Bombyx mori: one gene and its partners. The protein of the gene in region 3 purifies or fractionates together with the protein of the main gene of each other region. This does not show direct contact. Links are inferred from orthologs where the notes say so. Each region holds a gene or a part of one and is shown on either strand. Other genes may lie near its edges. The genes, in order: ragulator complex protein LAMTOR5, ragulator complex protein LAMTOR3 homolog and neutral amino acid transporter 9.

Region 1 (4,211 bases), on a different chromosome or scaffold from region 3:
CCTCGTACTAGGAAAATAATAATCATTTCACATAAACCATATATTATAATATTTGTAAACCTCATATATAAAATAACAAGAGATACTTAACATTAAAATAATTGTTTCGTTTCTATAGTCTTTTAAAAGGCTATCCACAGTCTAAGTAACTGTTTGTCCTGTGGAACATTTAAGTTAATAAAGTGTAGGGTGCCTAACATCAAATCTTACAATAAATAGTCCATAACTAAATGATAAGTGTTATAGGTAGTTTTCCAATTACAGAGCATAATGCGACTCAGTGAAGCACAATGCCAAATTATGCTGAAGATTAATTGGAAAGTCAATTAGTTTTCAAATGCATCAGCAGAGTGCGCTAAGTTAGCACAGTTTTATTTAATATTGATTATTTCTAAGAAACTACGACGAAACGAAAGCCTTACATTTTTTTTCAACATTAAATAATATTACTAACGATAATATAAACAAAATTTCGATCAATGCCAACTTAAAGAAAAAACACTTGTCAATTTATTCTGTCACTGAGTTGGTACCGATTGCGAGTATCAGCAGTACTTTTGAGAGTGCTCGATTGTGCGAAGCGTTGCTGTAGTTGGAACATTCAACGTTGAGCATTATGCTGCATAATGCGCTCTTGTGCTGTAATTGAAAAACTACCAAAATGATCATTAATAATATTTTCTTACAGTAGAACCACTCCCCATACTTTTCCTTACTTAAACTTAATTTTTATATTAAAACTTTTAAAATAAGAACGAAATTATGATCCTATAAGAACAAACTTTCCACATCTAACAAATATTTTTTACTTTTTAGTATTTTTTAGCGAGCTGAAAAAGAAAGTTTTTAATTTAAACAATCATTTAGTTAACTAAAGCAACTTAACTTATAACAAAAAATAATTAATGCAAGATTAAACAGTAAAAGTACTTAAATTATGTTTACAACTCAAAAACCAAAGAAAAACATACTATGTTATATATTATTTGAGAATAATCCTGAAGATCCTGGTCAGTCCAATGGGATACTCTTATTATATTATTCTATTATTCTGGGCGGTCCTTTATAAGTGTGCTAAATTTCAATTATATAATGTTTCGAGGTGGGTTGAAATAATGTTCAAAGATTCCAATGCATACAGGCAAAGCTAATAAACAAGCAAATTAAAAAACCAGTCATTATTATTATTACATGAAGAAACTAGAGAATTTATGTGGTTACGAAAAACTTATACTTGGAATACAATATTATGTTAATCATAATTGTTAAACTTTTACTTAGTATGGTGGTAAGCCATTACAATAATTTAGCTGTTAATATTTATTCTCTTTAAAATAACATTATACAATGTTTATGTGGTTTTACATTTTATGATTGGTAGGTAATACTTTAGATAAATTTTGAAATTAAAATCTAGATAAAGAAGTATTCAAATTTATGTTATTTTGGGGGTCAGTTAAAAGTAAATAATAATTTTAATTTATTTCCTATCACTAGACATAACCTCCTGAGAGATGTTAAGTTAACATACTTTTGGCTGAATAATACACGATCTTCTGGATAGCTTGCTTACCAGAATAGTTCAATGTTGTTTTAAATTTTATTTTACTGAAAAACAAATAATAAACTTTATTTAACTGTAAATGAAACTTAAATAATTACTAATAATGTATGTGTGAATAATGTATGTGAGTATGTGAATGCTATCACCCACCATCTTGAGACTTCATCCTTATTATTCTTTTCATGAATGGATTTATTTTCAAGAACTTGCATTATAATCATTACTAGCGACCCGCCCTCGCTTCGCTTCGGAAACATTAAAACACACAGAAACCAAAAAAAAAAATAAAAAAAAATAAAAAAAAGTAGCCTATGTTCATCAGGGACAATGTCGGCTTCTAATGGAAAAAGAATTTTTCAAATCGGTCCAGTAGTTTCGGAGCCTATTCGAAACAAACAAACAAACAAATCTTTCCTCTTTATAATATTAGTATAGATTAATAATAATAGAAAAAATAATAGAATAATAATAGAAGTTTTTATATAATATATGATATTATATAAAAATAAAAAATACCCTCGGTGTGGATTGGGAGAGGCCTATGTCCAGCAGTGGACTGATGATGGGCTGATGATGATGATGATGATGAAGCAGTAAAGTTTCAGTTACTCCCATAACTTGTGTGTTCATAGTGCGTAATGTAATTTTCTATATAACAAAAATCTCATTATAAGGTTTTGGGGAATTTATCTTTTCGTGTTAGTGTGGAATCGTGTTGTAAAATACCGTGTTATAGTAGGGCTAGCTACCTGTACATTAAAATATTGTTATTACATTTCACTTATGTCATAACTTACAAGTAATTTCATGTTCCATAGAAAACTATGTTGTGAAGTAACAGCAAAGAGTTCATTTAAGTTCAAGGCCGTTCATACATATCATGATAAACAATTATTACATTTTCAATAAATAAATAAAATATACAAGTACCTTCTATGTTTTCAATTTAAAAATCGCTCCGGTGATCGTGCCATGTCGTTGTATGAGGCACTGTTTTTTATCAGTTTCAAGGCAAACTGTGGGCGGTTTCATGTTCGGTTGTATTTTACAGGCCTGTTCTGATATGGCAACGATTATCCCTGCAGAGTCTACGTGCGCGGCGCCTTTTGATGCCAAGCATAGTCCTTGTGGGTCCGCGATAAGACAGCCATTGACATTAGGCATAGACATGATTTCTTCTACGACTTTGTCTAGATCGTTTTCCATTTTTATTAAACAAATTTATATTAATTTATAAAAAACACGGTCAAAGTCGACTGTCGACTGTCTTTTGGAAACAAAACAAAAGATTCTTTGTTGACTTTTGACATAGCATCAGCACTGACAGATGTATTTTTTTAAAGTCTAGTTGGACAAGCAAATAAAGCCGTGTATAGAACTAAGTTTTTTGTTAGACTGAGCCGTGTTTGTGTTACGATAGCGAAATGGTACAAATAATTGAAAATAAATTTTTTCTCCTACCGACGCCGAAAGTTCGGTTTTCGTCCCGCTATACAGGGAAGAAAGTGTAACTTTTCCTCCTGCTGTACAGGAAAGAAAGTGTAACTTTTTCTCCCTGGGTTAAGTGTGCATGCGTCTACGTCTGTCTACGTCTGCTCTCACGCATCTAAAATTCTCCGCCATTGTTGTGCTCGGGTAATTTGCAATATTTAGTGTTTAGTGTAAAAGTAAAATAAACAAAAGTCAATAAAATTTAATAGTGAAGTATTAAACAAAGATGAATTCATCAGACAGTTCTTATTCAATTGGTAGTAGTTTTTTTAAAAATTGACCATAAAGATTTACATTACGACACAAAACTGCCAGCAGTAGAACCATCAGAGGACCACGTGCACTGGAACCGGAAGAAAGGACATACTTATGCGATGCCGTGGAGAAAAAACTAGCCCTAGAACCTCCTACAGGCGATGCTAACACTCAATGGGATACCGTAAAATCTCATCTCTGCGAATCCCTTGAAGAAATCAAGGCTTCCCGCAGAGAGGGAAATGCAAATCGGAAAAAAAACCAAAGTATGGATTTCGGAGCAAACAAGAGAAGCTTATAAGCAAGAGGAAAGACATCAAAGTGAAGGGATTACAGAATGATGACGTCAGGAAGACTTATTCTGACCTTTGCAAGGAAATTAAAAAAGCGTGCCGCCGAGATAAAAGCTGTTTCATTGGAGACATTTACACTGATATCGAAAAACATTCACAAAAATACCAACCGTCTTATTTGTTCAAGAAAGTTCGCCTTTTGTCTCGGAAATTTAAACCAAGATCCTGGATAATTGAAGATCCCAATGGCAAGCCTATCACTGATTTAAATGCCGTTGTCGAAATGTGGCGTAAATACTGTGAAGGATTATATGATCAGCCTCAGTCAATGAGTACACAACTCCCAGTCTGGGACGACATAACCTTAGAACCTTCAATAATACGATCAGAAGTAACAGAAGCCATCTCTCGACTAAAGAGCAATAAAGCTCCAGGACCGGATCACATCACGGCAGAAATAATTAAATCGCTGGGAGATAGGGGTGTGAATGCAGTGCATAGCATCTGCAATTACGTATGGCAACATGGCGAGTGGCCCAATAACTGGACTGAGTTGATCATTTTGCCGCTTCATAAAAAAGGGTCAACTAGGAAGTGCGACAATAACC
Region 2 (4,107 bases), about 10 Mb from region 3:
CCCATCATACCTAAAGTTGCTGCCCCAACCTTAATTTCCGAACGATAGTAGTTCTGATCTGGCTAAAAGGTTTGCTTCTTATAACTTAATAATTCAATGATAAATTCGTTCAGAAAACTATACAAGTAGGTAATTCCCAAAATTAAGAAAACAAGAACTAAAACAGTTAACTTTTAATGGTACGTAAATAGTTTCCTTTTTATAACTTTATATGTTTTGACACTTTAAATAGCATTTTAGAATTTCAATTCCAAAATTCAATTATATATACATACATTAAACACCAATAAACATTTAGGGATACTGTAACCATAGATAATAGATAATACACATAAACTAGTTGTAATATATCAAAGTAGCTACTGACATTTTTAGAGAAAAAATATATTTTAGGCAAATATCATACCAGACGTATTCACTACATGTCCATACATAAATCAATGAATCATATAATGCACTTTTTAAACAAATACCTGGAATATTGGACTGCATCTCTGCATCAAGCTGCATTGCATATTCCAATACGTCATCTGCCTTATATGTACACATTACTAACTATATGCAGTCAACCCTGCTTCTATATACATCTTATTAATATAAATTATTTCAGTTTTTAAACTTTTCTATCATTGTTAGTAATGTAGGTAGTTAAAAAAAGAAGATGTTATAGTTCAAAACTGACACTGGCAACACCAAATTTTATAGGTATTTGCACTCAAAGCATTCGAATAATATTCATATATGCAATTATGTAATGTTTTTGGATAAACTTTTATATTGCATTTAATCTATGTAATTGCAGATTTGCATTACTTTATGATGGGTTCCACATAACTTATTTTACATCAATATACTTTAGCTAAACAGATTATTGTAAAAAAACGCAAGGCATTGCCAATGTTCATATTACTATATACAGTTCATAAAAGCACCGAAAAATAAATATGTAACTTCGATCCCACATTAGCCTTAATAAACCTATTTTAGAGAGTTGTAAAAGGCTATTTGGTTTAAGCAACATTTTTGAAACTTTACAGGTGAGCCAAAATGTTTAAAATTTGGAAAAATATATCAGACAAAAACACTTCTTCTGCTATTAGAATGGAGTAAATTTAATTAAAGTTCAACAAAGTCTTGATGCTAATACCAATTAAAAGGTACCTTTAATTACAAAGATGAATGTCGCTTAAACCAAATAGCCTTGATATATTTTAAAAACATGTTTATATGAGTAATTTATGAGAAATATTTTGGTTTCGCTTGTTTGATTCAAGGTGCATCTGCAACTACCACCTCCAAGTCCTTCAAGAACGGTTCAATCTGACTCTCTAATGATAAGATGTGACCAGTGTTGCAGTTGTCGCTTCCAATAAATGTGATAACTAGGGGTAGTTTGCTCATTTGTACCACCTGTAAATTATGATTATTTTTATTAAACATGAACATTACAGAAATATTAGAAATACTATTATACTGTGAATGGCTCAAGATTGCAATATTTCGATTTAAAATAATTTATCAATAATTTTAGGGTTCTAAATATGTATTTTAAATTTAGATATTTTTTATAATAACTGATTGACTGAAGCCCAAAATTGTGCCCAGATTTGACTTCCTTTGCTATTATACAGCTTGTGTTAGCAATGATTCCACCTAAAGAAATTTAACTAACTTATTATACTCATTCCAGGCAAACAGGGCAGTCTCATTCTTCAACATCATGTATTTACTAATAACTAGCACTCAATAAGCGACAATAGCTCCATGTATGAGGGAGGCTTTATAGCCCTACAATTCTATAATTGACCAGAAGTGAGGTAGTTAAACCTCTTATATAATAGAAATAAATTACACAGAACTGGTCTAATTATATTTCACTGAATTAAACAAAATTTCTAACAAAATGATTTCAATCTACCATTAACGAAAACTGTAAAAACTACACAAGTCCAAAACATGTTTCAACAAGAAACGTACATGAACGCTACACACAAAAAAGAGGGCAAATGCGCAGCGAGGGATCTTTTTTATAGTTTGGCGCTGGCTCTCCGTCGGAGGTTGCCTGGTAGCACTCGGTAGCACGCAATAACTATATATTTATCACTTACTAAAAATAATAATGTATATTTTTTTCAAAACTAACCTGATAACTAGAATACATTGATATAATGGTTTTATTTCTACCCAACCCAAGTTTGCTAGCCTGATCTGTGGCCATTCCAAACGTGGATATGAAGTTAGGACGCAGAGCTAGTGGAGGCGCTCTTTCAGTTACCGCCCTCACAAGGGGTACACCGTCTCTATCGGTAATCAAAATACAATGTAGGCCATTTACTCTGAAAAAGAATAAAGTTAAGGCCATCAATAGTTTTTCTTTTTTATCCATCCGTACGTACTTTCCAAAGTCACTTTCTCTGTCCCTATATCCCTATGTATGCTTAAATCTTTAAAACTACGCAACGGATTTTGATGCGGTTTTTTTTAATAGATAGAGTGATTGAAGAGGAAGGTTTATGTGTATAATAACATCCATTAAATAGTGGAGAAATCAATAATAAATAACAATTTCCGAAGCGAAGCTAGGGCGGGTCGCAAGTAAGATAATAAAACGAAAAACCAAAGAGTAAAAACGTAAATTATAAAGTTTTCTTACTTTTCCAGTAAATGATTCAAGTATTTTCTAAGATCGTCAACCATATTTTTTACAGTGAAAAATCTTTTTTGGTTTTAGAAATATGGAAAGCTAGCAAATACTAAATTGTGAAAAAAATAAGGTTTGTTTATATTTTTTTAATGTTGACAGTTGACAAATTGGTTTTACGCCAGTAGTAATACTAATTTTGTTTTTCCAACTGGACAGGCAAAGGTACCTTAGTATATACCTTAAACCAGAGTTCCCCAAACTTTTTTGTGTCGTAGACCCCTTGCCATGTTTTTCCGTGTTGGGTAGACCCCCTACTTACCTGATATTGATTTCCTGTAAATTTCTAACTGTAGTAAAGTTTAGTGTTAAAAACTTAAAATAAAACCCATGTTAATTTATACATTTATTAATTGAATTTAAATTAAAACTACTCAAAATAAAATTTTGTATCTGTTATGTAAAATATACGTAACATAAAATAAACTATAAATAAAATAACATAACCCCTAGGGGTCGATATAGACCACTTTGGGAATCGCTGCCTTAAGCTTTTATATTTTAAATATATTTTTATTATGTATGAAAAATGATAATATGAAGTGAAATGAAATGAAGTTCATTCATATGAAACATGAAATGAAATGAGATGGGATGATAAGGGATGAAATACAATCTCAGTAAAATGGTGGCCATTTACTAAGATTTTTGAGTGGACTTTTTGGAGGATCCCGAGAAGTTACGTTCAGTGGCTTAGTTTCATTTTCCCACATTTGTGCACTTTCACAGTTATACTAAACAGTTTATAAACCACGGTTATTACACATTTAAACCTGAAGAAACACTAAATTGACAAAATAAAACAACTCACACAACGTCACTCCTCGCGTTCCCTCCAAAAAAAAGGTTTTAGGCCAATTTCAGAAATTTCATGAAAGTTCACAGATTACCTATATTCTATGATTATTCTGTTACAAAATCTATTTGTGCCTGTTGCTTAATTCAAAATTAGCTCATTATACAACGAATATGGATCTATATAGAATACTAATCCCACATAAGTCTATTAATGTTTACTATTTATTTTATTAAACAAATGCCGATAAGTGATCCGTGAGGATCCCCAAAAAAATAAATGAGATGAGAATGTCAGTAGCGAGCAATTCTTTTTTTTTTTTAATAAATATTACTGACTTGGAAACAGCGAAAAATTCAAATGTAAATGAACACAGATTAAAAATTATTTTTAAAGTCTATTGCCAAAATGGCAGAATCGAACTGACAAGTTGTGGGATTTTCGTAATTTATTTTTGGGTACAATAATTATTGCCTTTGTACTTCTAGAGATTTATTTGCATAGTCAACCAATTATAATAGAATAAGTGTTCATAAATGCGAAGCAATAAAGTGTTAAATAACATCACAATTGAATGTTGCAATATCTTGAATTACAAGTTTGGTATGAT
Region 3 (3,656 bases):
CGTTCGACACACTTAGATCTGCAAGGGTTAAAGTTATTTAGATGTTGCCAGACACTGCCTGCCTATTTCTGTCGTGAAGCAGTAATGCGTTTCGGTTTGAAGGGCGCGGCAGCAATAGTAACTGTACTGAGACCTTAGAACTCATACCTCAAGGTGGGTGGTGCATTTAAGTTGTAGATGTCTATGGGCTTCAGTTACCACTTAACACCAGGTGGGCTGTGAGCTCGTCCAACAACCATATAAGCTATAAAAATAAAAAAAGTCACCGAAACTCACTTACGACCCAGAGAGTTGTCAGAGAGTTGTTGACTAGGAGATGTATGGAAATGGTAGTGCGAGGTAGAGGGGGAAGAGGTCGACCGAAGAAGACAAGAATGGGGTGTGTGAATGACGATATGAGAGAGAGAGAGGATGAAATAGAAAATTTCGCTGTTCCGACCCGACCTTGTAGGATAAGGTGGGGAAAAAGAAGAAGAAGGAGGACAGATACCGCTGTCTCGCCGATTTCTGCCGCTAACCGTACATATTGGCTTGAGAAGGACATTATAATTAATACTTTACCTTCGTGCCGTAAAGTCAGTACCTGAATAGTTACAACGGTTGCCCTATCCTTCAAACCGAAACGCATTACTGCTTCACGGCCGAAATAAGCTGGGCGGTGCGGACTCACAAGAGACCCTACGACCAGTAATTACGCAAATTATAATTTGGAAACGGAATTGGACTAGAGAAATACGAATTTACCAACAACAATAGGCTCCTACCTATAAAATAATTAACGGTGAAGTAAAAGAAGTTGGTGATGAGTATCCAGTATACGATGTTCGCTCCGAGGAGTACCAGCACGCTGAACACGTGCGCCAGCGCCTCCGCCCAGCCGCCCAGCAGCAGCCGGCACAGCGCCTGCACCGAGCACGTGTCGCTACCTACAGGAACGCAGATATTTGTTTGCGATAGGCGGCTAAATAGTGGATCCTCCATGTTCATTTATTGTTGAAATGGGTGGACGAGCTCACAGCCCACACAGTACACTGGTGGTAGGACGTCTTGTGAGTACGCACGGGTAGGTACCACCGCCCTGCCTATTTCTGCCGTGAAGCAGTAATGCGTTTCGGTTTGAAGGGTGGGGCAGCCGTTGTAACTGTACTGAGACCTTAGAACTTATATCTCAAGGTGGGTGGCGCATTTGAGTTGTAGATATCTATGGGTTCCAGTAGCTGCTTAACATCAGGTGGGCTGTGAGCTCGTCCACCAATCTAAGCAATAAAAAAAACCTGGTGCTAAGTGGTTACTGGAACACAATGTGTTAAGTAAGTTAAGTGTGTCAATGTGTTAAGATGTTTTAGCGGTAGGCAGCGGCTTGGCTCAGCCCCTGGCGTTGCTGAAGTCCATGGGCGACGGTAACCACTCACCATCAGGTGGGCCGTATGCTCGTCTGGCTACAAAGGCAATAAAAAAAAAAAGTAAGATCGAATACCCAGCATAAGCAAGCGGTAGGCAGCGGCTTGGTTCTGCCTCTGGCATTGCTGACGTCCATGGGCGACGATAACCACTCACCATCAGGTGGGCCGTATGCTAGTATGCCTGCTCGGGCATTCAAAAAATTAAACAATTTTAGCTAAACTAAAGAAGAATTAAAACAAATATCTCACCGTGATAAGCGTTTACTGAGATCAATATGTAGGCGGTGTAAAGACACAAGGCCGCCATTACTGCGACCAGGACCAGAGCGGCCGGGAGACCAGCCCGCTCGACGCCCCACGCCATGGTCAGTAGCGACGACCCCATTATCGTGTTCCATATTGAAAAACTGAAAAATATATACCTACATTGAAAACACTTCGATAGGTGAAAGGTTATTTGGGTTTAAGGGACGTTCTTGCAACTTTACAAGAGAGCCATTTAAAGTTTAAAACTTGGAAGAAAATATAATCACTTTTAATTATTATTCTCATAATCCTCTCGCAGGTCTGCTGGAAGAGATTTCTTAAAGAAATAAGTAGTGCCTTTGTACATAATCTTCCTATTACTCTGTACTATGTCTTCTTTTTTGTGTGTACATAAATAAATAAATAAAAACAAAATGTGTGCAATTCACACGTGGTAGAAGTGAAACCTTCCAAAATTAAAATACAATCATCCTAAACGTCTTAAGTATATGTAAAATTTTGTCATTAGTAAATAATTGTACGGTAGCGCCCTCTGTGAATTGATATTTTAATTTCACGTATAATCCTAAATTAAAATTCACTACAAGAGCTTTCATACACACGTTAGTATTAAAAAATCTCACAGATGGCGCTGTATTAAATAGTATGTATATTTCTGTCTCATTCTTTGCTGGCTTCATCCTACACATTTTTGTATTTGTGTCTCTTACCTGTCGTTTTTTCCGTTGCATCCGGTTTGAAATCACAACGATTCTAAAGAAGTTTTCACTTCAATAAAATAAAAATATACTTACTTACCGAAAAAACTTCTTCAGCTATATGAATGTGATAAATGTAATTGAATTTCAATTGAAAAACATCGCATTGTTGTTGCTAATGCCACATGAAACGGACCTTTAATTACAATGATGAACGTCCCGTATTAAGCGAAATATCGCTTAAATACCCTTTCACTTTCCTTTAAAGACCCGCGCCTTTTACCCCTCGACATATTTTTTTATTATTATTTCGTAATTCCTAAACACAATTAAAATTAATTTTACGATGTACTGCTTTATAAATTATTCGAAACATGGTAAATAATGTACTAATTCCAATTTCAAAAAACAAAATCCAAGTTCAAACTGTAAAAGCAGTCTTCATTACATTCTCTCACATTACAAGTCTAATCACGGTTACAATGACGTCCTTATCGCGATATGGTCTAAATGCCCATTCCATTTATATATAAATATGTACGTGATAATCTCTTTGTACGGTAGCTTTAGCAAGAGTAAGGAGTAAGCTGCCCTTTACTAATGAAACAAGTTGATTGCAATTTTAACTCCGTATATTCACCAGTGTCTGCCGTGTCGGGTGGGCTATGTACGACTGACCAAATGCATGCGATGCACAAAACTGCATACGCTGCTAAATGTGTCCCTACATAAGCCCCCCCTTTTTTTAAATAAATACATTTAAAAAAATAAAATAAAAAAATACATTTACATGCTTCAACTAATTTCTAAAATTGCAGACATTTCGTTAAACAATAAACATGACAAAAAATATAAATCAATATAGAAAGGAACAGAATAAAAATTTAAACATAACATAAAAGAATATTAACCTATACGTACATATTACACAAATTACGTACATCGCTTATTACACGAAACGAACGCGGTTACACGAAAGCGGTACTTCTTGCTTCCTGAGGTTGAGATTTAGGCACGACTTCACGCAACTGGATGGTGGCAGCTGACGGACGGCCTTGTCCGAGCTGTACATCCCGGAACCTCATTTGTCTCCAAATATAATTCTGTGCGCCCTTGCGACAGCGCGTAAACAGGAGGTATAAACCAGCGAGTATTATAACTCCTACGATTACTCCAAGGCCAATAGATAAATACTGCAGATTCTGTAGGTTATCTACTGTCTCCTTATTTATCGTCAACGATTTGTCCTCTTCTTTAACATAATAGTTTCCCATTTTGGGGTATTAGG

The links.
Region 1: the proteins of neutral amino acid transporter 9 (region 3) and ragulator complex protein LAMTOR5 purify together in Homo sapiens (co-immunoprecipitation; 5 studies listed by BioGRID and IntAct, with this or other methods). This does not show direct contact. The link is inferred for Bombyx mori from reciprocal best matches to the Homo sapiens genes SLC38A9 and LAMTOR5.
Region 2: the proteins of neutral amino acid transporter 9 (region 3) and ragulator complex protein LAMTOR3 homolog purify together in Homo sapiens (affinity purification with mass spectrometry; 3 studies listed by BioGRID and IntAct, with this or other methods). This does not show direct contact. The link is inferred for Bombyx mori from reciprocal best matches to the Homo sapiens genes SLC38A9 and LAMTOR3.

Annotation. Positions count from the first base shown.
Region 1 is NC_085110.1:1,233,103-1,237,313, reverse strand, and holds ragulator complex protein LAMTOR5, read right to left. Parts: upstream 2,876-4,211; 5' UTR 2,771-2,875; coding exon 2,498-2,770; 3' UTR 2,495-2,497; intron 1,609-2,494; exon of another isoform or gene 1,148-1,608; 3' UTR 26-1,147; downstream 1-25. UniProt on the Homo sapiens protein: As part of the Ragulator complex it is involved in amino acid sensing and activation of mTORC1, a signaling complex promoting cell growth in response to growth factors, energy levels, and amino acids.
Region 2 is NC_085109.1:12,157,930-12,162,036, forward strand, and holds ragulator complex protein LAMTOR3 homolog, read right to left. Parts: upstream 2,850-4,107; 5' UTR 2,698-2,849; coding exon 2,654-2,697; intron 2,337-2,653; coding exon 2,144-2,336; intron 1,411-2,143; coding exon 1,270-1,410; 3' UTR 159-1,269; downstream 1-158. UniProt on the Homo sapiens protein: As part of the Ragulator complex it is involved in amino acid sensing and activation of mTORC1, a signaling complex promoting cell growth in response to growth factors, energy levels, and amino acids.
Region 3 is NC_085109.1:1,879,218-1,882,873, forward strand, and holds part of neutral amino acid transporter 9, read right to left. Parts: intron 1,811-3,656; coding exon 1,653-1,810; intron 927-1,652; coding exon 765-926; intron 19-764; coding exon 1-18.